Cricetulus griseus: one gene and its partners. The protein of the gene in region 1 interacts with the protein of each later gene in a pairwise test. Links are inferred from orthologs where the notes say so. Each region holds a gene or a part of one and is shown in the gene's direction. Other genes may lie near its edges.

Region 1 (5,449 bases):
TATACAATGAATTGTCATCATATTTGACATCCTTACCGTCCTTCCAACTCCTCTGCTCTAATGCCTTCCTCCCACTTTCATATCTTTTTAATAACCCACTGAGTACAATTAGTGCTGCACATACGTGCATGGCTGTGGGATATCCACTGCAGCACGCTTAACCAAACAGGGGCCACACCCCTGAACAAATGGCTCTCCCTCCTCCAGCAGCCAGGGGTAGGCTCTCATGGTCCCTTCCCCCACCCGTGCTGGAATGTGGATTGGCTTGGTCTTCTGCAGGTCTTGGGCAGGCAGCCACAGCTGCTGTGAGGTCGTGAGTACAGCAGCCCTGTTATGTCCAGAAGATGCTGCTTCACAGCAGTTTTCCCTGAACTCTCTGGCCCTTATAATCTTTCTGCCCTCTTTTCTGTGATGATCTTAGAGCCTTAGGAGTGAGGACTGTGATACAGACATCCTGTGTACAGCTGAGCACTCCACAGACACTTATTCTCTGCACTTTGACCAGCACAAGTCTTTGTAGTAATTATCTTTTACTACACGAGAAAGCTTCTCTTATGAGGACTGCTCTCTAATCTATGGTCCAGATTTAAGTGTTTTGAAAGCACTTTGATGCTATATCTGTTTAGCAAAATAATAGTAGTAAGCTCTCCCCTAAGGCTTAGGAGCTCCCAGCCTTGAGTTATTGACCAGATTTACGGTAGAGGCACATGTTTCTTTCTGCAGGATAGATGTTAAGTGCAACTAGAGAATGGTTAGTTTCCCCTCATAATGTTCATGCCACTATTGCAACCATGGGCACATCTTGCGAGGGTGATCAATAGTTCTACCTCTTCAAGTTTCTGCCATCTTTCTGTGACATAAAGCTGTTAACACATGAGCCTCTAGGAGTCCTTGTATATCCAAACTATAACACTAGTCTTGAGAATAAGCCTAACTGAAACAAAATTGCATAAATAAGTGGAATTTCAAGTAAGAATTCATTTGATAAATTGTTCTGTAATAACAAAGACTAAGAGACAAATGGCCAAAGTGTCAAAGCCATAGCAGAGTTTTTAAAAATCAAGTAAGGACATGAGAGTTATCCATACTAGAAGATAGGAAATCTGTCTCTGGTGTCTCCTATCTTCTCCTCTCCTCCACTGACCAGTGGTTTGCAAACACACAAGCCTTTTGAGAAGTTTGCATTCCATCTTTAACAATGACAAACACAGTATTATGAGGTGAATTTCACTGTAACATAGGTGAGATGTCTGAGATTCAGAAGAATGGCCCACTGTGACCAGTGTATATTATTGTTGATGAAGCTTAGAATTTGAGGCTATAAGAAAATAGCTTTACATGAAAGAAAATAAATAAATTCAGCAGTTACTCCATGGTTCAATATGAATTCCAAATATGTATTAAGCATATGTAATAAAATATTAATATACATTTAAGTACTAGAAAGGAAAGTAAGGATGAATGTTAAGTTGAAAAGCCAAATTTAAACACCACCAAATAAGCTTCCATGTGAAACAAAGTTACATTATATGATATCTGATTGCCCCAAAGAAGGTTTTAAAACTAGACAGAGTGGTCTTTAAAAGCCTAATGGAAATGTTAAGTATGCTGAACCACAAAAAGCAAAGGAAAGAAGGACAAATCTGTTCTGTAGAACTTTTCAACAAACTTGTTCGCTAACACTTTGATCTCCACATTTTTCAGTGTGATTAATTGCAGAACAGAACTCAAGATATTAAAAAAAATCTTTGTAGCTGCAATTTGATATGGGCCAAATACAAAAACACAAAAACTTATTAATTACAAAGATTTCCAGACAGTAGCGTGCCAACTATTAACTGAAGTTTTAGGTAATTGGCCAAGTGATTCACAGAATAAGAATGTTGACTTCCTGTGGCATTTTCTGTGCTACTCCATGACTTGGAGGAGAAGGGTGCTTTTACCAGCCATGATTTAACATCCCTAAACTCAGTGATGATTGCCTGCCCCACTCTACCCCCAAGTCAGTCAAGATTGGATATAGCAAGTTGAATGAATTTACGCAGAGTCAATCTGTCAAGAGAAACCAAAGCAGGTGGCAATTCTCGGACCCTGGACTCATTTAGATTTGTCATTTGTGTGCCTGTGACAAGTCAGTAGGTATTCTCTCTCTCAGTTTCCAAAGCTAAAGTGCAAACAAAAGCAGTCCATGGCTCACAGTTTTCCTTTCTTGCACGAGAGTCTTTTAGTTTACCCTACAAAGCATCCAAGCCAACTATGAATACGAAGTTTCCAAACTGTTCCTTGTTTCTAGAACATTCTCTAGGGCCTTGGGAGAGGCATCATTGGTTTCATGTCATTTGTTCACTTTTATTGAAGTATGCATTTAACTAATAGATTTTTATTTCAGGCCAAAAATGCGATCCGAGCTGTCCGAACGGAAGTTGCTGGGGAGGAGGAGAAGAGAACTGCCAGAAATGTAAGTCAGCACAGCTCTGGGGCCTGAGAAACATGCCCTTGTGAGTGGAGTCCACACAGTGTGTGGCCCACCTCTCCTACACTTTGGTAACAGGACGAGTACAGGAACTTGGCAATGGACCCAGTGTTAACTATTTCATGAGTGTTGGTCTTGCCAACCCAACTGCACACAGCCATCAAAGGCTAACTATTTGGGATACTTCAGACCATCATAAAATGCCTAAAAGCCAGCTACCCAAGTGCCTAAGTTATGTAGGATGCCCTGTTTCTGCTCCTACTCCCCCTTTCTTAGTACCAAGGGTTTCTCCAGGGAGCATATGTGTGAATCCTACTTTTTAAAAAGTTTAATTAACTCCAGCATGGTTGCTGGAGTTAATTAAAGAACCCAGGAATGTATCAGCCTCAAAACTGACCACAGTTCATTGCCTTTGTGACATAACTATCCATTCTTTTAAACACCATGTCCAGTCAGGTGCTCTTCTGGCTTGTGTGCTTTCTGTACCACCAAGAATTCTCTAGCTACTATCTACTCATTCAAAAGATCTGATCAGACAGACTTGCTTTAATCACGTCTCCTAAGTGATTTGAAATAAATGATAAGAGATATACTGAGGGGAAGGTTGTGATGATACTCAGTTTGGCTGAATGTGAATGCCTAAAAGCCTGTTCCACAGTCAGGAAATCCATCCATCTTCCCATCTGTTTCTTTCTACTGCATGCAAGTGTTCCTCCAGGCCCCTGGAAGATAAGCTGCCACCTAGATGCAGCTCATTGGTGATCTTTCTTTTTCAGTGACCAAAATCATCTGTGCCCAGCAATGTTCCCGGCGTTGCCGTGGCAGGTCCCCCAGTGACTGCTGCCACAACCAGTGTGCCGCTGGTTGTACAGGACCCCGAGAGAGTGACTGTCTGGTAAGACTGTAGGCACTGGGGAGGCAGGCCTCAGAGCTTTACACACTGACTGTGATGGGGCCTTCCTGTGGGGCACAGTGTAAATAAGTATTGTCTTGGCCAACAGCAGCAACAGCATTATGACAAATGTCTAGAGCTGCTTCTGTAAGACCCCTTGAGATGTGTCCAGTTACACAGACCTTGCACAGTATGACATTGGAATTGTCCCCTCCATTCCACTTTGCCCACCATCTTTCAATGCCTCTTGGCTGCTCCCCTACCCTATGCCATCCCATGGTGTCTTTTTTCCCCTGACACTACCGAAGCTCTGGTGAAAGAGCTTGTGAATGCACGGGCTAGTGAATGTGATTCCTGGGGTTAGCACAAAGCTGAGCAAGGCCCTGTTGGGCTCCAGAAGAGGAAGTCCATCCTAAGCTAGAGTCTAGAATATCGTATGGTTTCTGCAAACAGAAGATTCTTAAATCCCAAACCAGAGCTAGCCCCGGATGTTAACACTTGGACAGTCTGGGCTGGACCTAAGAGCAGCACAGGAGAATGACCGTCCATGTAGTTTTTAGTAAGAGCTAAGACCTTTGATCTCGCCCTTTCTGAATGGAAGCTTCCTGTTAAGATGCCAGCCCTTTGACGATAAATTCTAAAATGTCTTCCAAAGCACTCTTTATAAGAGAAACCCAGTATAAACTGGGTTTAAAAATGATGTCACACCATATTTACCTGGCCGTGGTTACCTTTCTTTGTCACCTGTAATCAATAGAGATGTATTTTTTCTAATCAAAAACCCTACGTTATAGCAACTGCAGCAGTCAGTATACTTAAAAATAGTACTTGTTACTTACAAGAGGGCAATGTTTCTGACTACCCTGAAAAGCTGACTGGATTCTTTTCCCTCTCACTGAACTCCTGAGCACTGAGAGCTGCCATTGGCCTGACCTGCAGGCTGCCTGGCCCTGTGCTTCTTTCATTTGGATGCAATATCTTGAGCAGGCATGTTGTCCCTCCTATGACAGGTCTGTCATAAGTTCCGGGATGAAGCCACATGCAAAGACACCTGCCCACCACTGATGCTGTACAACCCCACCACATATCAGATGGATGTCAACCCTGAGGGAAAGTACAGCTTTGGCGCCACCTGTGTGAAGAAATGCCCACGTGAGTTGTCCACTGTTGACTTTCCTGTCATCCATGTCCTCTTTTGTCTTATGCTGGAGTCTTGGGTAGTTTGGGGCCCCTTGTGCTTGCCTTGTTGTCAGGTAGGTTAGCACATGCCCAGCTAGATACAAAGGTGAGGACACAAGGACTCTGGACCAACAGCTAGGGAGCCTGCATGGGACTGACCTAGACCCTCTGTGGGTATGTGACTGTTGTATACTTTGGTCTGTTTGTAAGGCTCCTAGCAGTGAGATCATTTCCCTGGGGCTTAGCTGCCCTATGGGAACCTGTACTCCATGCTGGATTACCTAGTCCAGCCTTTATGCAGAGGGAGGATCTCAGTCCTACCTTGACTTGATGCCCCATGCTTTGTTCAAGCCCATGAGACACCTGCCTCTTTCTGGATGGAGACAGAAGAGGAGTGGGTGGATGGGGAAAGGGGGTAGATGGGAGGCAATAGGAGGAGAGGAGGGAGAGGACACTTTGGTTGGTATGTAAAATAAAGGAAAAATTTTAATTAATTTTTTTCAAAAAGTGAGGAGCCAGCTCAGTGCTGAGCGACAGAGGCAGAGGCAACCTGCAGCAGCTAGGGCACCTGGCCTCCAAGGGTGGCTTCATCTGCACTGATCCTACAGTTGGTGACCAGACTTTGTAACAAAAGATGCCTGTTGTTTCACCCCAAGTCTGAGGACAACTATAGTAACTTGAGGTGTCCTGGCACTGACTAACACAAAATCACAACCTTCTGGACTAATCATTGTTTGACTCTGTACTCTGCTGGTATTTAACAGACCTAAATTAGAAAAAAATAACATATCCACCATCTTGAATAGAAAAAAAACTCTGGTTGGGATCTTGGAGAATTGCAGTTTTAGTTTTGCTTTGATTTACTCCTTTGGGTTCAGGCTTTGTTTTTTTGTATGATTATACTC
Region 2 (6,063 bases), on another chromosome or scaffold:
GTTAGATGTATGAAGTTGACATAAAACTAGCCAGGACACTGTCACCACAGGTTTGACTGTGGAACAATTTAGGCCATCAATAAATATTTATCTGTGATATGACTCAGTTGGAAAAGAGCTTGCTGTGCAAGGAGGAAGTGAGTTTGGATCCCCAGTACCCACGAACAAGCTAAGTGTGATAGCATGCTTGCAACTCCTGTGCTGATTGATGAGCAACGAGTCTCTGAGCTCATTGACCATACAATCTAATAGAATTTGTGAGTTCTAGGTTCAGTAAGAGACCCTGTCTCAAATAATAAGGTGGAGAGCAACTGAGGAAGACTCCTGTTGTTCACCTCTGGCCCCCACACCTGTGCACACAGGTGCATATTTACCCCACATGTGCTGCTTTGTACCTAACAGAACGACACACACACACACACACACACACACACACACACACACACACACACACACACACTCAGAGAAATATTTACTTGATCTTAGCCACACTGACAGTGTTTAGGTAACCTAGGGTTGCTTTTCTCTCTGGGAATGACGCAGGGAGTGACCATGACATTGTTGGCTAACGCTGTGAAGACCATACTTGCAAATCAAATTCTAGGAAGGCTAGGCTGTGGAAACTACCCCCTCCACAGTTGCCCTCAGGCTGTGATTTTTGGACGCACTGAAAGTCCATGACGGCTGTTGGACCTTCAGGGTTAGCTTGTGACTGGTAGAGGGAAGCAGTGAAATACTCACTGTGGGCAGATCCCTTAAAAAAAAAGGAAAGGACAGAAAAGGTCAGCAGCTACTGCTCAAAGCTCCTAGCTTGTGTTTATCCTCTGGATGGAAAACTCAGGTGAAGATTTATCGTGTTCTCCTAAGGAAGCCATGATGCTGTTTTCTCACGAAATACCGAGGAACTGGCTCCTTCCAGCATTTGTTGGATATTTAGTGTAAGGAATGAAGGGATGTTTGCCAGATCCCAGGCAAAGCGGCCTATCATTTGCAAGGGGTTGGGGGTGATGTGCACTAACAAAGCTAGTATTTAGAGGGCACTTACTGTATGCAACTAAACACTTTATGTGTATTAACTGACATAATCCCCACAACAACCCCGAGGAAAACACTATTATCTCCACTTTACAGAGCAGGAACAGGCCTGCCCAAGGCAGTCAGTGGCAGCCAGCCTCCAAACCTAACTTTCCTGGCTCCAGAGCTAGGTTTCTGCTCATCAGAACATTTTCTAAAATTGTAAGGTCGACAGCAAAACACCTGGCACATAGGAAAGAGAGATTTCCAACCAGACTGAGGGCTAAGGAAAGGTTTTATGGAGGGCTGACAGATGTGAATCTTCAAGGTCAACCAGCAGGTGGAGAAAGGATGTGGGCAGAAACAGTCTCGGGGAAGCTGCGGCCTGACAAAAAGGAGCAGCAGTTTGGGTATCCGCCAAGCGATGACAGCACACGTGGGAGGAAGGCTACAGACGGAGGCCTCGCCATATCCTTAAAGGTCCTTGAGGACTAGGCCCCCCTCTCTGTAAGTAACCCGGGAGTAAAATCCTCAAACTAGCATGTGCTCATCCCTTACTTTCTGCAGAGTTCCCCTGCCAGCGATCGAGGCAGACAGCACTCCCGGGTTTCTTTCCGAGGACATACTGAGTGGAGCTGATCAAGGTCACCCGCGCTCGAGTACAGCGTGTCCAGGATGACCACTCGAGTTCTGCGCACAAATGCCGGGGACTTGGCTGTCAGCCCGGCCTGGCCAGCTCAGGAACGTGCGCACTGCCGGGGACTGCTCAGCGAGTCACTGGGACACCTGTCCTCTGCAATACGCATGGGCGGGCCACTGCTCCAGGGATCCAGGCCCCAGAAGGTCAAGGAGTGTCCTCTGGGGACTCCAGCCACTCGCAACATCCTCATCACCGCAAGGAATAAAAGTCTCAGCGATTGGAACAAGCTGTGCCAATCACCCTTGCCCCCGCCCACACCTCCTCCGGTGTAAATCTCACTGGCTGCATCATGCGAGCCTCCGATAAGATTCTCTTTTTGAATTGGCTCATAGAGACTTGTCCCGCCTCACCCATTTTTGTCAGAAGGTTGTGATTGGCTAAGTTCGTTGCCAAGTTCCGGACGCGGCTCGGCCATTGGAAGCCGCGGGCTGCCCCCGCCCGCCGGTGAAGGTGAGCCTCTCCTCCGGTCACCGCACCTAGTAGCTCCGGGCTCGCGCTCGAGGTCTCGGCAGATTCCATCAGGATGTCGCCTCCGTCAGTCTTTGCCCAGGTTCCGCAGGCCCCTCCAGTTCTGGTCTTTAAGCTCACTGCAGACTTCCGGGAGGATCCAGATCCCCTCAAGGTTAACCTCGGCGTGGGAGGTAAGGATGTAGTGCCCTGGAATGCCAGCAGCATGGGGGACCCGGCGAGGAGCCGAGGCTTAGTTTGTTGCCTCCCTGAGAGGGGGCCCGGGAGAGAAGGCTGGGACCACGAGGGGGGCATCCACCAACCTGCCCATTTTGCAGATGGTGATACCGAGTCCTTGGAAAGAGGTGGTGTGTTCAAGGTCACGCAGAACAGGTGCAGCATGTGGGGGCACAAACGTAGTTTTTCTGATTCTCCATCCTGTGTGCTTTATAGTACAAGTTCCAAAGCAGCAAGATGGCCAGGGATTGTAAGGAGGGAGAAGTCTGGTCGCTTTGGGGTCGTGGTCAGCCGGGAAGTGGGAAGGAAGAGCTGTTAGCCTAACGGAGCTGCGGTCTGGGCTGAGTGAGCGGGAGGTACCAGTTAGGAAGCCCGTCAAACCACGTGGTCCCGGCAAGATCTAGGCTTGGTTTATCCTCAGAGTGGAGCCGATGAGGTGCAGCCCAGCTCGGGGCCCACACATCTGGGTCTTCGTTTCCTGATTGTTCTCCTTGAACAATCTGCTAAGGAGGTTTGTGTTGGAAACTGTCTGAAACTCCTTTTAACGGGAGCCTCCGGCGACTTTTATTAAAACTGTCGCTTTGATGTGGGACGCTCCAGGGAGCTTGGTTTACATTTGTCCATATACAGAGGCCAGTCAAGGAGAGAAAAGTGAGTAAGACGAGGAATTAAAGGCGCTAGAAGGTTTGAAAGATTTGTGCCGAGGGGATTCGGAATCAAGATCTTTATAAGAAATTGTACATAACCCACCCTCTCTCTCTGTGTCTCTTTCCCTCCCTCCCTCCCTCCCTCCCTCCCTCCCTCCCTCTGTCTCTTTCCCTCCCTCCCTCCATCCTCTCTCTCTCTCTCTCTCTCTCTCTCTCTCTCTCTCTCTCTCTCACACACACACACCACACACACACACACACACACACACACACACACAGACACACACACGCAGACACACACACGCAGACACACACTTCATCAAAGAATAGGAGGGGGCAAGAGACAATCCTGAAGTGCTGTTATTGATGGTGGGTGATGGGCATAAATGATATACATTATTTTCTCAACTTTTATGTATGTTTGAAACTTCTCAAAATAAAGCACTAAAAAACCAGTGTTTAGTTGTTCCTCCAATGGAGGGAACTATGATTTTTTTTTTATTTTAGCAGCCAGCAGAGCAGGAGAAATACTGATTGTCTTGCATAAAAATAAAAAAGCTCTCTATTTAAATCCAGTGCAGAAGCTCCAAGTGTTTCTTTATAGCCTAATTTATGTAGAAGAACTGTTGAGGTTGATCTTCTTGGCCCATCTTACAGGGTTTTTGCGGAGACTAAACGCCATCACAGGCTTTGACTGAAGTCTGGAGTATAAGCAGGAGTTATATAATGGTAGCTATTTCTGTTGTTGTTTTGGCATTTCTTTGAGTGGGTCTCTTAAAAAGAAGTTGAATAAAAATTATCAGCCTACAAACTGAAAAACAAAATAATTTGTGACACTGGTTCAGAAATAAAGCGCTCATGCACACAAAATCCTCCCTGCTATGGCTTCCAGTCCAGATAGCCCAAAGCAATCTTTAGCTCAGGTACCCATCACTGTTTCCAGGAACCTAAGAACATAAGCAATGAGTTGTGCATGTAAGTGCACTGTGTGCCCACGGCAATTCTGGGAGTTGTTTTCTCTCCCATTTGCAAGGAAGGAAGCTGAAGCCCTGGGAGAAAGTATAGTTTGACCCCCTAGGTGGGAGACCTGGGACTCTAGCCAGGTCTCAGGCTTCAGGGTCTCTGGCAGCTTCTCTGCTTGGGATACTTTCAGCTGGCCTGGGGGTAGCCAGTAACCTACAGGGAGAAGAGGCAGGAGCTCCCTGCCTGGGTACCCGGCCCCTGTGTGGTCAAATGAGGGCTAATTAATGCCCTTGAAGCTGAGGTAGAATGAGGTATCAGGCCTGAATGATGATTACAGTCTATCAAAAGTCAACTCCAGGATTGCCCAGCACGCTCTGTAATTATGCAGTGTGGAATAATTGTATTGACCCCATCTACTGACCATGGAGTAAAAGAACAATTAATTGTGAAATGTGATATGTAAGTGAAAGGTGTTTCAGATAAACCTATTTGGTCATTGCTGTGACCTGCTGTGTGTGGGTGATAGATGGCAGCTAGGAGTCTAATCACAAAAGAGAGGAGGAGTAAATGATTTCGTTCTGCACCTACATGTCCTGTTTACTTACACACATACATACCTTTGTAAAGGAGATTAATTACTGTGAGAGTGATGCTTCCTCCCAAGGTCAAAGGTAATGGACACTCCCCCACTCCGGTTTTAGCAATGCTGGACAGTTTTAGAATGAACTGCTACTGTAATCTCGTGAGCTGGTTCCCATTTGCAGATAGTTTCCTCAGAGATGTTTCCTCTTGCTGGGCTGATTTCAATAGTTTTCTTGTCATTAAACAGAGCAGTGTGTCATATTCTTCAATGTTAAGCGCAGTGCTTATGGAGTTGATGGGCTTAGTGTTTCTCAAAGCCTCTGACTGTAGTGCCTTTAAGGACAGAGAGACACAAGTCCAACCTGAAGCAAAATCTCTTGTTTGTTTGTTATTTATTTGTTTATTCTCTGTCTTTTTCTGTGTGCATCGTGAGGGTATATATTCACATGGAGGCCAGCTGTTGATACTAAGTGTCTTGCACTATTGCTTTCTACCTTTTCCTCTGGGACAGTGTTTCTCACTGAACCCAATGCTCACTGATGGCATGACCAGCTGACCAGTGAGCTCAGGGATTTGCCTGTCTCCTCTGTTCTGTACCAGCTCTTTATGTGGGTGTCTGGGATCTGGTCAGGTCTCCTGGGTGTGTGGTAGGCACTCGGTAGACTGAGCTGTCTCTCCAGCACCCAGTTCCCCCCCCCCCTTTTTTTTTTTTTAAAGTGAACTTATCCTTCTTTTGGTCTGGTTAGTTTAAGTCAGTTATTTTCAGTGTGGCTTCTCCATCTCCAGATGTTAATTATTGGTTAAATGAGCTGTACTAGGTGTTTCTCAGAGCTCAGGGTGGAGAGGGGTCTTAGAGGCATATGTGCACGGGCTCTTGGGTGTGGATAGGCGAGGGAAGTGGAGCCTTTAGGAGGAGATGCGGGTGAGAGTTGGACTTTTCAACTCTGTTCTGCCTTTCTCCCAAGCGAGACTGCTGGGCCTGCTTACAGCCTGCGTGACTGCCCTGAAGCTCACTCAGGAAGAAGGACCATGGACCACAGAGCAGAGCTCAGCAGCACGGCTGATAAAATGGGTCCTGATAAAGTGCTCTGGGCTCAGAGCTTCTCGATTCCCTTGGGCATCACCTATTAAAATCAAAAAGAAAGGAAGCAAGCTTTTGTTGGACTCAGTAGAGTCAGCCTAACTCTTCTTATCTTTGGCAAATAATTTCTGGCCTCAGTTTCCTGATTCCTAATACCCATCTATTTTGTGGTTTGTTAAAATAATTAAATGAGAAGAAAGAAATGTGCAGAGTATTTAGTAAATCCTTGTTATTACCGGGCCTTCAGTTTCCACTAGTGTCTATAATTATGAGAGCTTTCCGTCCTGGATCTCCTCACCTAGTACCCTTCTTATTTGCCGCCATATGTTCTGTGTCTCCATTAGCTCCTTAACGCACCACCCACTCACTATCCAGACTAGATGGGCATTGGG
Region 3 (5,936 bases), on another chromosome or scaffold:
ACCCTTTAGGAGAAAAACAGCCCTTTTCTTCTGAGATTCATGTTACAGTATCAATGGCTTTCCTTCTTTTTTTTTTTCAGACTTCCTGATTACTTACCTTGTTTTATTGTCCCCCCCCCATCCACCCCGGCCCTGACCTCATCTCAGACAGATGTCTTCTGTCTTTCAGTTTAACAGACTGCAGTCAGTTTCATGTGGTGCTAAGCAGTAAGCACAAGTCTCAGTACCTTACACATACCACAGCTCAAACCTTCAGCCAGAAGTAGCATTAACTCCATTTCACAGAGAAACTGGGGCCTGGGAAAGCTAAATAAACTGGCCTAGAGTAACCCAGCTGCTAAGTGAGGATGCAGACAGGAGAGATGGCAAAGCTGACCTCCCAGTTCCTTGTTCTCTGCACTTGCAACATCCTCCACATTAACCCTATGTGTGGTGGGACTGGACAGGTGTCAGGGAGCCAGGGGACATCTGAGGGTCTATGGGGAAGTGTCAGTTAAGGGAGGGACCAGGTCCTACAGGTCACTGATTTCATGGCCTTGATAGACAGATTCACCAACTACTAAATAGCCAGGAAGCTGGAGTGTAGCTGGACTGAAAAGAACAGCTGAAAAGCATGTTATAGATTCTGTTCATCAGCTCAGGGGTCCTCTCTGCCTCAGCTGTCTTCAGAGGGAAGGCTACTGCCTTCAGGGCCGCACCCACCCTCAGTCTAGGGCTGGGTTCAGAATGTTCCGTCTTGTCCACATCCTCACTCATTACTTGCATTCCTCAGCCCTCCAAAAACTTCACACAACTGGTTCAAAAGTTCTGGTTTTCTTCTAGTTCTGAACAAAGGTGGTGGTGGTGGTAGGGGCACTGAGACAGGGACACGGTTTCACCATCTCCAGCTCTTCACCTCTGGATGCATATTTATCTAGATCTGCTCAGCTCTGAAAAGGCAGCCTTGGCAAACATCCTCCCAGCTTGCTGGCTCTGTCCAGTCTCCACCTCAGCTTCGGGCTGCACAAAGCCACCCTAACAATGTCTTAGCTTCCTCCTGCACATCACCCCAGTTATCATTGGCACACACTCTTCCTGGCGTCTCCCAAGGCAGAACAATTTCTGCAATGCATGTACACTGTCATTGTAAATACAAGGCAGCCAAATTCAGCAAGGCCGGCATGGCACCACGCAAGCTTAATTAGCGCTCACGATGACTATAATTAGAATCATTTATTGAGTGCTTCCTTATGTGCCCAGCGCTGTCCTCGTCAGTTTTCAAGCCCTTAAATCCTTCGAGACAACGCTGTGAACTAGACAATCCGATGTCCATTATGCCCGCATGCGCATGGGGCACAAAAAAAGGGCACTAAAGGACTCTGTCCCTCTCCAGTAGCAGGTTCACCCGCGAAAGTTAAAGAATAGGAAGGGGAGGGGGGAGAGAAGGGACAGGGAAATCTCCAGAAAGGAGGGGAAGGAGTGCACTGAGACACTTCCTAGTCATCGTTACTCAGCACTTTGAGGCGGAACCGCAGCATGGCCGCCCTGGTCGAAGGATACACTTCTGCCTGGGCAGTCCCCAGGCCCAGTCTGGAAGTATCTGACTTAGGTCTATTTGGGGCCTGGCCAATGTGATCCTAGAAGGACTCCAGATTGTGAGAGGGGACTATGAGCATCCTCCCTACGTAGTGCACAACGAAAATGCCCTTAGAGCAACTGGACGCACACTTACTTCCCTGTGTAAGCGCAGGGCGGTGTCTGGGAGCCCGAAGCTGCTCCAGGCGCCTGCGCTAGCCTCTCCCCCTGTAAACCAAGGCCAGCTTTCCGCCGCGCAGAGGGAGGAGACATGGGCGGGGCCATCACTAGGGAAGTACCGGAGCTGCTCTAGTAGCCGGCTGTGGCTCCGCCCCCTGGAAACCTGATTTCCGCTCCACCTCTTGGAGGCGTGGCTTAGGTGTGGCCTGCCGAGGCGGCTTGGCGGGCGCGGGAGGCCAGGGAGCGCGTCCCCGCTGCACGCGCCCGCCCGCCCCGCCCCGCCCCGCCGTGCTCCGCCCTGTCGCTATAAAGAGAAGGCGGGCGCCTCGATCCGCCGCAAGATCCGTCAGGCATCTCGGATCCGCTTCCATCCGATCCTACAGAAACTCGTGTGGTTCCTCCCCGCGACAGCCAAAATGGTGAAGCTGATCGAGAGCAAGGTACGCGTGCCCGGACGACGCGCGCACCCCGCCGTGTGCTGTGTTGGTCGCCTTCTGTATCCCCGTGGTGAGCGGCCCGGGGCCTGTGCGCGCCCTGGGCTTGTAGAGCACGCCTGGGGGAGGGGACGGGGAGACCCTGGAACGCCGGGTACCGGAGGTGCACCGCTGGCGGCACCTGGGTTCCCCGATCTGGGTTCCTGCAGCCTCCAGCCTTCTCCTTACCGCCAGCTCTAATCTGGCGGAGGTGAAACGATGGAGGGGGTCCTTGGGTGAACCCCCGTCTGAACCAGGATTCGGAGTCTCAGGGAAGAAATGAGAGCCGCCACTCCTCGCGTGTACACTGTCATACACAACGCGGGGTGTCCTGTGCCTCAGGGCTAGGCCGGAGTTTGCCTCCATCAGTGGTCCACTGCCTAGAGAACCAGTGCCCGGTCGGTGCACGGGGGCCGGTACCTATTGGAGACCCTCGGGCAGGTGCTCCAGGTAACTACTAGGAAGGAGAAAGGTCCAGGCCCCGCCTGTGGGACTCCTCCTCCTCCTGCAGCTCAGGGCGTGTTTCCGGCAGCGCTAGCTTTGGAATGACTCAGTCCCCAATGTCTGGGCCCAGGGGCCTCACTACGCTAAGATTTCAGTGATTCACCCGCTGTAAGTGGGCTTTGCTGGAACCAGGGCTCTGTTCCTCCCAGGGAGTAGTCCACTACAAAGTCCAGGTTTTGCCATTTGGGAAAAGAAAAAAATACCTAAGGGAAAAACTGTTGCCATATTTGAAAGTTACTGAGAACCAAAATATCCTCCAGATTGGGAAAGTCAGAGCCTGTTACACTGTAACTACTCGGGGAATATTTGTAAAGTGGAAAGTGAAAGGGGCGGTGGTGGGAATTGATGTTTGGAAGACTCTCACAAGGTAACCTAGTTAACTTGTTAACCTAGCTAACTAGGGGAGCCCAAGGAAGGCAGACCCACGCCTCCAGTTATGAGCTGTTCGGGCCTGGTTGGGTGGGTCTCAGTACATGAGTTTGCTCAGAATCCACCCACTATCAGTCGTTTTCGACCCAGCACCCAGTTAGGTCCTTACCTGTTTAAACTGTCTTACTTATGGGACCTTTGCCATTCCAGTAGAAAAGGTGTGCATTGGGGACAGGAAACCAGTTATTCATAAAAACCTTGGGCCCCAAAGGCCTATTAACAAGGCTCTGATCAGAGTCGCCCCGAATCAGAGATTAATTGAATACACCTAGGGTTATACTGGTGGGCTTAAGTTGATTGGTTTAACCATGTGTTTCTGAGGACTGTATGGACTGTACGGTTAGTTAAGGGTCCCTGATTCCAGACAGGAGTGGGATGATGGGCTAAAAAATCAACAGTTGGTTTGCTTTGTTTATTTTTAAGACTAAAACTATTTATTGAACTACACACAAGGCATGCTGCTCAGTGCTTTACAGACTATGTTAGACCAGGGTGTTGGCTCATGGCTCTCAGCACTCAGGAGGCTGAGGCAGGAGGATCACCACCTTCCTGTCCTGGGCTACAGAGTGAAACCGGTCTCAAAAAGCAAAGAACACTTTGTATTGCTACCTTTGGGCTGGTTTTGTGTTTGGGGCCTTTTGTTTTGCTTTCTTTTCCGTTTACGTATAGGGGTGGGGCATTCACTTGTGGTGGTCAGAGGACAGCTTGGGAGGGTTGGTTCACTTCTGTCTTGGGGATCCTGGGTATTGAACTCAGTTCTCCTTTTTGTGGCAAGCACCTTAATCTGCTGAGTCACATTGCCAGCCCCTGAGCTAGGAATATTTGAGAAGAGGGATCAAAGCAACTGCTTCTAACTACTCCAACTGTTTTCTTCAGATCATCGGTGTCAGTGATGGAACCATTTCCTAATTGTGATGGATTATTAGTTTCTGAAGCTAAAATTTGTGATTTGCTTCTTAGACAATTTTGAATACTCTTCAAGCCAGTTCAGGCAAGTTTACACATCTGGAGAAGAGATCTTATTTGTGAAGTTTACACATCTCTGTAACTCATATTCACTGAAGCCAGAAATTAGGGTTGCAAGCCTCTTTTTTTCAGAGTTTTAAGTAGTTTTACTTGAATTTCATTCATAGCCATTGGGTAGCAGGGGAACCTTGAGAGTGTTTGAAATGAAGTTCATCCTGTTTTTTATGTAGTGTCATCAAATTTTTATTGAGGATCAGTCATGTTCCATTTGTGGGTGTTGTCAGACCAGCCTGCCATGCCGTCTTTGCCCTGTGTCCTGCAGTAAAGAATGGGTGGTGTGGCCTTTTTAGTAATCATGTAAGGGAAGGTTTTGTATGGAATTTGTCTGCAACAACCAGCGGTGGTTTGGAAAGGTGGTTTCCTTTACTCTGCACTATAGTCCCACCTCCTGACCCTAACACTTAGCTGTGTTCACACCCAGATATGGGCTGATAGACCTGTATAACTAGGGCAGTGTTTAGAAGTTGTCATAGCCATTCTGTACTATTCTCAGAAATGATATGTGGTTGATTATTTTCCTTGAAAAATATGAGGTAGAAATTAAAAGCCAGAAAAGTAAGTGCTCAGGACTGAAGAGAAGAGAAAACTCAGAGAATAAGAGCACTCACTGGCAGTCTTTCAGAAAACAGGTGTTCGATTCCCAGCACCCACGTGGTGGTTTGTAATCATCTGTGACTCTGGTTCTAGTATATCTTCTGGCATCTGAAGGCACCAGGCACACAAGTGATGTACATAGATACATGCAGACAAAAACATTGATACACATAAAATAAAAATTTTAAAACATTTAAAGTAGCTATACTCTGAAAACTCATTAGGTTTGTTTTGGGTGTGTGTGTTTTAACTGTACAGTGTTGAAATATTTACTTTCCTTTGTTGGGCCAGATCTAATATGGTTCTTAATTTGTATTTATTTATTTTGAGTATTTTGAGGCAGGGTTTCTGGGTGTAGCCTTAGCTGTCCTGGAACTCTGTAGACTAGCCTGGCCTCTGCCTCCTTAGTGCTGGGTTTAAAGGCATATGCCACCACTGCCAGGCTGTCCTAGTTTTTATAATTAATTTGACCAACATTATCTCTCCTGGAGGAAATGTTACTTCAGATATAGCTGTTTGTGGTTATTTTTATTCATCTTTGTTGCTCCAGTATTGGTTTTAGGCAGCACCAAGTGACTGATGGCAGTTTAAATGAGTCCCTAGTAACTAGAATGTTAGGTTCCTAGGGTTACAGTATCAAGGCTTTTGGTAAATAATTCAGGGAGGTTGGTGGTGAGGGATTTTTTGTTACTGTTGTTAATTATTTTTCTGGGACTTGCATGTGACAGGTGTTACTTAAGCAAAACAGCCAAAGAAAAATTTCTTCTTGAGGAACTAAAACTTGGATTCATCTAAAGAACAGTGCATTTTGATTCATAGGGCAAAAGTCAAAAGAAGCAGTGTGATTCCCAACTCTAGAAGTGCTGTTTAAAATAAGCACACAGGAGGAGCTAGAGAGCTACCGTAGCTGCTAAGAGTTCTTCCTGCTCTCCCAGAAGACCCTTGTTCAGTACCCACTACCCATGGCTCCAGCTCTGGGGATTTCAGACCTCTGTGTGCCGACAGACACACACACACACACACACACACACACACACACACACACACACACACACACACTCACACTCACTCACACTCTAAAGCCAAGCACACAAAATCTGTTTATGCAATGATGGCCTGAGTAGGAAGGTCGGTCTCCTGGACTCTGGAAGGGTTGGGGATCTTTCCCGTGTTTCA
Region 4 (5,986 bases), on another chromosome or scaffold:
GCATGTACAGGTGAGGTTATGAAAAGCCAGGCTTGGGTAGTATGAACCTGCTACTCTGGCTGGAGTATGTTGAAAAAGAGGAGGATGTGGGAGGGGTATAGTACAAGTGTGGGCTCCCAGTGAGAGGATCTGTGGGTGAGGCATTCTTGAAGGAAGCAGGCACCTCCGAATTGTTTACTGAATGACCTGTGCGGCCTTCATCTCTCTCATCCTCATTTTGAGGATGGGGAGGTATTCTGTCAAAAGACTACATCAAGATTCTTCCATTTGCAGGCAAGGATCCAGGACAAATGCACCTGACTGATGATGGGCTTCAAGATGTCCAGAAAAGAAGGGGATGGGACAAGAAGATGAATGGGACTCCTAGAACCCCTACAAAGCAGACCTGACAGGAAAGAACAGGTTAGAATATCCCCTGAGCATCTTGGAACACCAAGAAATGAAGGAGCAGGAATGTGCTTGGCCCTCCTCTGCAAGCGTCAATCATCGTAGCTTCATACTTTAATTAATTTCAGGAGATAGCTCTGCATTTTCCAGCCTAGAGTTATAGGAACAAGCCCTTTGCTCTCTTGACCTGTCCCCTCCTCTCTACCATGAGGGCTTGAACAAATGTTCTTGTGTTTCTTCTACCCCAATGTGATGCCCTTCAGCTCGAGGGAACACAAATTTAAGGTTCCTCTCCCACCGCTGGCTTTGGAAACAATGTGTATGCCTGGGCTCAGCATCAGTGGAAAGCCAAGCAGCTTGTGCTTTTGCCTCCCAGCCCATTGGCCCTACAGAGGGAGTGTAAGTTTCCCCTAGTGTGGACACTCTAGGTTTTAGAGGAAGTGGATCTGGGCAGTTTACCAAGCCAGGAAGGATGGCAGAGTATGACACAGGACATTGAACATATGAGCCACAGCCAAGTCTTGTTCACAGAGGACCAGACCCAGAGAACCCACCTTTTCTGTCGCTCAGTCATCTCTTCTGAAAACCATACATCGTGACGCCTCCCTCAGGAGACAGGAAAGAGACAAGGCGAAAGCTGGTGACATGAGAAGCATTGCAGATCCTAAAAGAGTAGGTGGGAGGATGAGCCAGCCTGGGATTCCCCAGGCCTTGTGGCTTCCCTGGCTACTTCTCAATGAAAGACTAAACTAGGAAATTCTGAGTTCTTCTCTCTCTGCCACTAAAATACCACTCTTGGCACCTAGTAATTACTAAATCCCGGAACATTTCACCTTGTGTTGGAGGGAGCTTTACTGTGGTGAACATGAGCTACTGTTGTACTGGAAGGGACATCGCATCCTGAGTGGTGTGAGAATTCTTCCAAAGGGAAGCCATGCTTGTAGCATCCTGCATCCTGTATCCTGCTCCTTTATAAATGCTCAAGTGTTGTCTGATGCAGTGGGGAGAAATCAATTCTTACACTTGCATGGAAGTGCCCTTCCACTCATGTTCCCAACCAGTGCCCTCAGGGAACATTTGCTTTTGCACTAATGTGAACATCTGTTTATGAGAGATGATCCTCTGTGTTTGCCATTGTGCTAAGTGTCTTTTCTCACAAAGTCGAGTCATGTCCCCTCCCACCATGAGAGGCTCATTTGATAAGTGGCTGCACTGAGCCTTAGATGTGTTAAGTTCATAGTTCATTGCCCAGAGTCCCCAGGCTGGACACATCAGGATGGGATTGCCTTGGCATTTCTCCTTCCTTACTTCTGGGTGACATTAGAAGAGATTCTCCTTGTTCTCTTCAGCAGGGCAAGCTGCTGGAGGACTGCAGATCACCTCTTCCTGCAGGGAGCTATTTCCCAGATGGAGGGCTTTGCCTCTGAAGGACCTCCCGGCACTGCTTTAGCTTTGCACCGCAAACTACCCACTCTTTGCCCCCAGCCTCGCCCTGGTGAACCCGAGTCTGCTCCTCACTACCTTGGGCCCCTTCAGAATTGCCCTCCATGTTCCCAGCTTCAGTTTCCTCCTGTGGACCGCAGAGGGCTTGGTAGACACCTTCAGGCGGACAGAGGATGAATGTTAGCCTGGAGCCAGTCTTCATCCTCCCAGCTGTGCTCCTCCCCCGCAGCCTGCCCCGCCTTGAGGGCGGCTCCGGTGTGTGCCCTGCCCATCCGGCCGCTCGCGCAGAGCACCCCGCCCCGACTCCAGGAACCAGCTGGGCTTACAGCTGGACTGAGCAGCCGCTGTTGCCCGCGCCGCCGCAGGTAAGAAGGCGGGCCGCTCGGGTCCTGGGCTTTCGGGGTGGGTTGAGCTTAATCTCCTCTCCTTCCCTTGCGTATCCGAGGTCGGATGAGTCTGGGGTTCGGCCCACGCGTGGGCATCTCGGGAGAAGGACGTGCTCGCTCACCTGCCTTCTCTCCAGGAGACCGAGGGAGGTGGCCCGGAGCTAGAGGTGAAGAGGAGCGGTCCATTCCGCCACGCCTAGATCCTCAGTGCTGCAGGCACTGGACCTCACCTCGACCCGCCCCGCGAGTGCGGGGAACTGGGCCCGAGTCATCTTTGCTTTGGGGGTGTCAGACCCCGAGAGAGGTGACTGACCATGCATGGTTTGAACAGTGGCCGGGTGAGGAGTCCGCGTAGTGGAGTCTTCACTCCTGAGCAACACCTTCCTCCTTCAGGGCCCAAAAACTGTTAGAAAGTTCCTCCTTGTGCGTGCCTGACATCTTCATGACCGTTCTGAAGGCATTTAGCTGTTTTATTTCCCGCCTTGCAGTGTTGCATTACCTTCCAGCCTGGAGAAGAAACTTCTGACCGAACGTCGACGCCTTCCTGATTAGGAGCACCTTATCTCAGGGTCTCCATCACTTTTCAGGTCCACTCTCCCCCAACTTTATTATAGCAACTTCCCCCATGGTCCAGGCTTGCCGGGCCTGCAGGGGAAGCCCCAGGTCTGAGAGCTGGGGTATACAGGCAAGCAGGAGATCCAACTGTAGGTTGACCCGAGCCCAGACATCCCTTTATTCCATTCTTAGAGTCTCCACAGAGCAGGGAGGAATCTTTTCACAGACCCAGGAGTTCTTCCTGGCATTCCTGGGTATGAAGCATTTGTGAAAGGCTAGTGTCTGCCTTTGTTTGACCTCTGGGACTTTTCAAAGACTTAATTCTGACCATCCTGTTCCCCAGGGACCATGATTCTGACCGGAGTACCAGGACCTCAGAGCCACTTTATATTGACCCCTTCTGTGGAGTTGCACTCCATCTCTAAGTGTGACCCAAGGGCCAGAGTCACACAGGGAGGCAGTGGCAGGGCATGGGCCCAGCGCCAGCCTATTCTTCCTGATTCCTTTCGTGGGACCTTAGACTCGTGGGTGTTTTGTGCAGTACTGGCCAGAGGTGTTATGCTGCCCCACACTTGGGGGGAGACTTTAAAAGAAAGAGGAAGCAGCAGCATGGGAACAGGGATCCGGTGGTGCCCAGCTTCTTTGAGACTGTCTTCCTTTCTTGGGCCTCCCTATTTATAAATGCCAGGGAAATCATAAGCAGCCAAGGGAGCTTGGTTTGGCACTTGTGTAAATTATCCAGAAGCAAAGATTTCTGTGTCAACCCCAGGAGGGAATTTATTCCACAATTTTCCATAGTCTTTTTATGAGAGCCTCACAAGAGCCAGGGGAAGCAGGCAGGCTTGCCTGTCAATCAGTTTCCTTCCCTCCTAACCTGATGCTCTGGGTCTTGACCATGGAGGGGCTCAAGAGCCCCAAGGAGGAGAGCACTCCCTATACTTCCCATCTTGACATATTTAGACCATACTCAGTTACAGCATAGTAAGAGGGGGTGACTAATTCAGTCTGGTTGAGCCAGGCCTTGGAAATGAGTAATAGTTTGCCAGAAGAAGAGGGATCAGGGCAAGAGCTATTCCAAGAAGCAGGGGCAGTTTGTGCAAAGGCGCTGAGTTTTTCTGTGCATTCTACATAGCTAGACTGGAGGATGGGGCAAGGTTGGAGTGCTGGAATTGGGACTGTGATGAAGACAGAACTGGTTAAAATAGGGACTTAGACTTTACTCCACAGGCAGTAAGATGCCAGGAAAGGTTTGTGACCAAGAACTCATTGACCTAGTGGCTGATGTGTGGGTGCAGGGGGAAGGGCTGTATTAGAGGCAGCGAGGCCCTGAGGATGAGTCTCGTGGTTGGCAGGCAGGTCCAAGCCATAGCAATGCCTGCTGGGATGGCCAACAGGTAACTTTTACCTGAAAACAGATGGGACGCAGCTACTTGGTAGATGCTGTTATTGTCAGTATCTCAGTGTAGTGGATTTTCTTCTTAAAAAATAGTTGTAAAATAAAAAGATTATTGCTGTAGGTTCAAAATGAGGGACAGGCTCGTTTGTCTTGATTGTCCTCCTCTTTCCTTTGAGGTGGACTGTCACAGTGAGCACTGTGCCTGGGAGGGAGCACTCCCTGCTTCCTGGTCCTCTGGGGCCTGACTGTGTGTGGGCAGTTTGGCTCTTAGATGACATGTGTCTGTCCACAGAGATGTTATCATTCTGGCCTGTAGCGCTTTGATGAAACACTGATCTTTGGTTTTCTTCAAGGAAACGCTTCTGGCCTGGGCCCACAGCTGTTGAGTATTTGCTGACCAGAGAATGTAAGAGAAATTACAAGTGCTAGCTTAGGTGTGGGGCTGCATTCTTAGTGCTTTTTATATGTCTGTGGTGTGTGTGTGTGTGTGTGTGTGTGTGTGTGTGTGTGTGTGTGTGTGGACACGTGTGTGCACATGCACGTGTATGTGTAGAGGCCAAAGGTCAGTTTCAGGCATCTATCACTTTTCACTTATTTTTATGAAAGTTTTTATTTACTATTAATTTATTATTACTGTGTGTATGTGTTATGTGCGTGTGTGGGTAAGCATGCTGGGGTGCACATGTGGCGTCCGAGAACAACTTTGCAGAGTCAGTATTCCCTTCTACCTGTACCTGGGTCTGGGAGTCAAACTCAGGCTGTCAGGCATCTGTAGGAAGTACTCGCTTCGCCTGGCCATCTCACCAGACCCTCCACTATTTTTTGATAGTCTCTCAGTGAACCTGGAACTCAACAGTTCAGCTAGGCTGCCTGGCCAAAGAGCCTCAGAGACTCACCTGTTTCTGTTCTTTCCACGCTCAGTACTGTACTGGAGGTACAGATGTGCGCCTGTTCACCTGGATGTACAGATGTGTGCCTGCGCACCTGGAGGTACAGATGTGTGCCTGTGCACCTGGAGGTACAGATGTGTGCCTGTGCACCTGGAGGTACAGATGTGTGCTGTGCACCTGGAGGTACAGATGTGTGTCTGTGTACCTGGAGATACAGATGTGTGCCTGTGCACCTGGAGATACAGATGTGTGTCTGTGCACCTGGAGATACAGATGTGTGTCTGTGCACCTGGAGGTACAGATGTGTGCCTGTGTACTCGCTTTTACATGGGTGCTGGGACTTGGTCTGCACAGCTCAGGGAAGACTGGAGAGGCCTCACAGTTATTTATAAGCACATATGTTCTTTACCATCAACAGGTTCCCAGAGTGTGGCTCAGTCTCCCATCTATTTTAGGAAATTAAGCCTCCTGGAAGCAGGCAAGGTCTTTTGTTAGCTGGGCTCCTGGCCAGAACTGGTCCTTCCTTTCTACTATTTGACACTCTTAGACATCCCAAAAGCCTGGGGAAAGTACATTCTAAGAAAATTGAGCTGAAGCAAAGAAAAGGGGGTCCCAGAAGTTATGTATGGTGGTGGTGGCGGGGAGGGGAGAGCAATGTTTAGGCAGCTGATGTTAAGTAAAAATATCTCCTCCCTTTCAGCTGAATGAGCGTGTGTCATATTTCAGCCTGGTGTGGTTTGTGAAGTTGGAGACCACAGGCAGGCTTAGTTCCTGCTGCTGCCGCTGGCTCCCCCTCCCCCTCCTCTTGAGATGTGTCTACTTGCTCCTGCCCTGCCTGGGACCACATGGGCAATTGCAGGGTAGGGGAAAGAAAAGCAGTGGGTGTGGTGGGTGAGGCTAGGCAACTAAAGGCTGGAGTTGGGGTCCTG

Evidence for each region. The genes of interacting proteins can lie anywhere in the genome.
Region 2: the proteins of Egfr (region 1) and Got1 interact in a protein complementation assay, tested with the Homo sapiens proteins (2 studies listed by BioGRID and IntAct). The link is inferred for Cricetulus griseus from reciprocal best matches to the Homo sapiens genes EGFR and GOT1.
Region 3: the proteins of Egfr (region 1) and Txn interact in binary tests that used the Homo sapiens proteins (3 or more experiments, as listed by UniProt). The link is inferred for Cricetulus griseus from reciprocal best matches to the Homo sapiens genes EGFR and TXN.
Region 4: the proteins of Egfr (region 1) and Gsn interact in a protein complementation assay, tested with the Homo sapiens proteins (2 studies listed by IntAct). The link is inferred for Cricetulus griseus from reciprocal best matches to the Homo sapiens genes EGFR and GSN.

The regions. Positions count from the first base shown.
Region 1 is NW_023276807.1:89,399,819-89,405,267, reverse strand, and holds part of Egfr (epidermal growth factor receptor), read left to right. Parts: intron 1-2,389; coding exon 2,390-2,458; intron 2,459-3,249; coding exon 3,250-3,368; intron 3,369-4,375; coding exon 4,376-4,517; intron 4,518-5,449. UniProt on the Homo sapiens protein: Receptor tyrosine kinase binding ligands of the EGF family and activating several signaling cascades to convert extracellular cues into appropriate cellular responses.
Region 2 is NC_048596.1:18,043,298-18,049,360, forward strand, and holds the start of Got1 (aspartate aminotransferase, cytoplasmic), read left to right. Parts: upstream 1-2,144; 5' UTR 2,145-2,237; coding exon 2,238-2,355; intron 2,356-6,063. UniProt on the Homo sapiens protein: Biosynthesis of L-glutamate from L-aspartate or L-cysteine. Important regulator of levels of glutamate, the major excitatory neurotransmitter of the vertebrate central nervous system. Acts as a scavenger of glutamate in brain neuroprotection.
Region 3 is NC_048595.1:85,907,740-85,913,675, forward strand, and holds the start of Txn (thioredoxin), read left to right. Parts: upstream 1-2,017; 5' UTR 2,018-2,150; coding exon 2,151-2,174; intron 2,175-5,936. UniProt on the Homo sapiens protein: Participates in various redox reactions through the reversible oxidation of its active center dithiol to a disulfide and catalyzes dithiol-disulfide exchange reactions.
Region 4 is NC_048599.1:147,072,696-147,078,681, forward strand, and holds the start of Gsn (gelsolin), read left to right. Parts: upstream 1-2,067; 5' UTR 2,068-2,195; intron 2,196-5,986. UniProt on the Homo sapiens protein: Calcium-regulated, actin-modulating protein that binds to the plus (or barbed) ends of actin monomers or filaments, preventing monomer exchange (end-blocking or capping).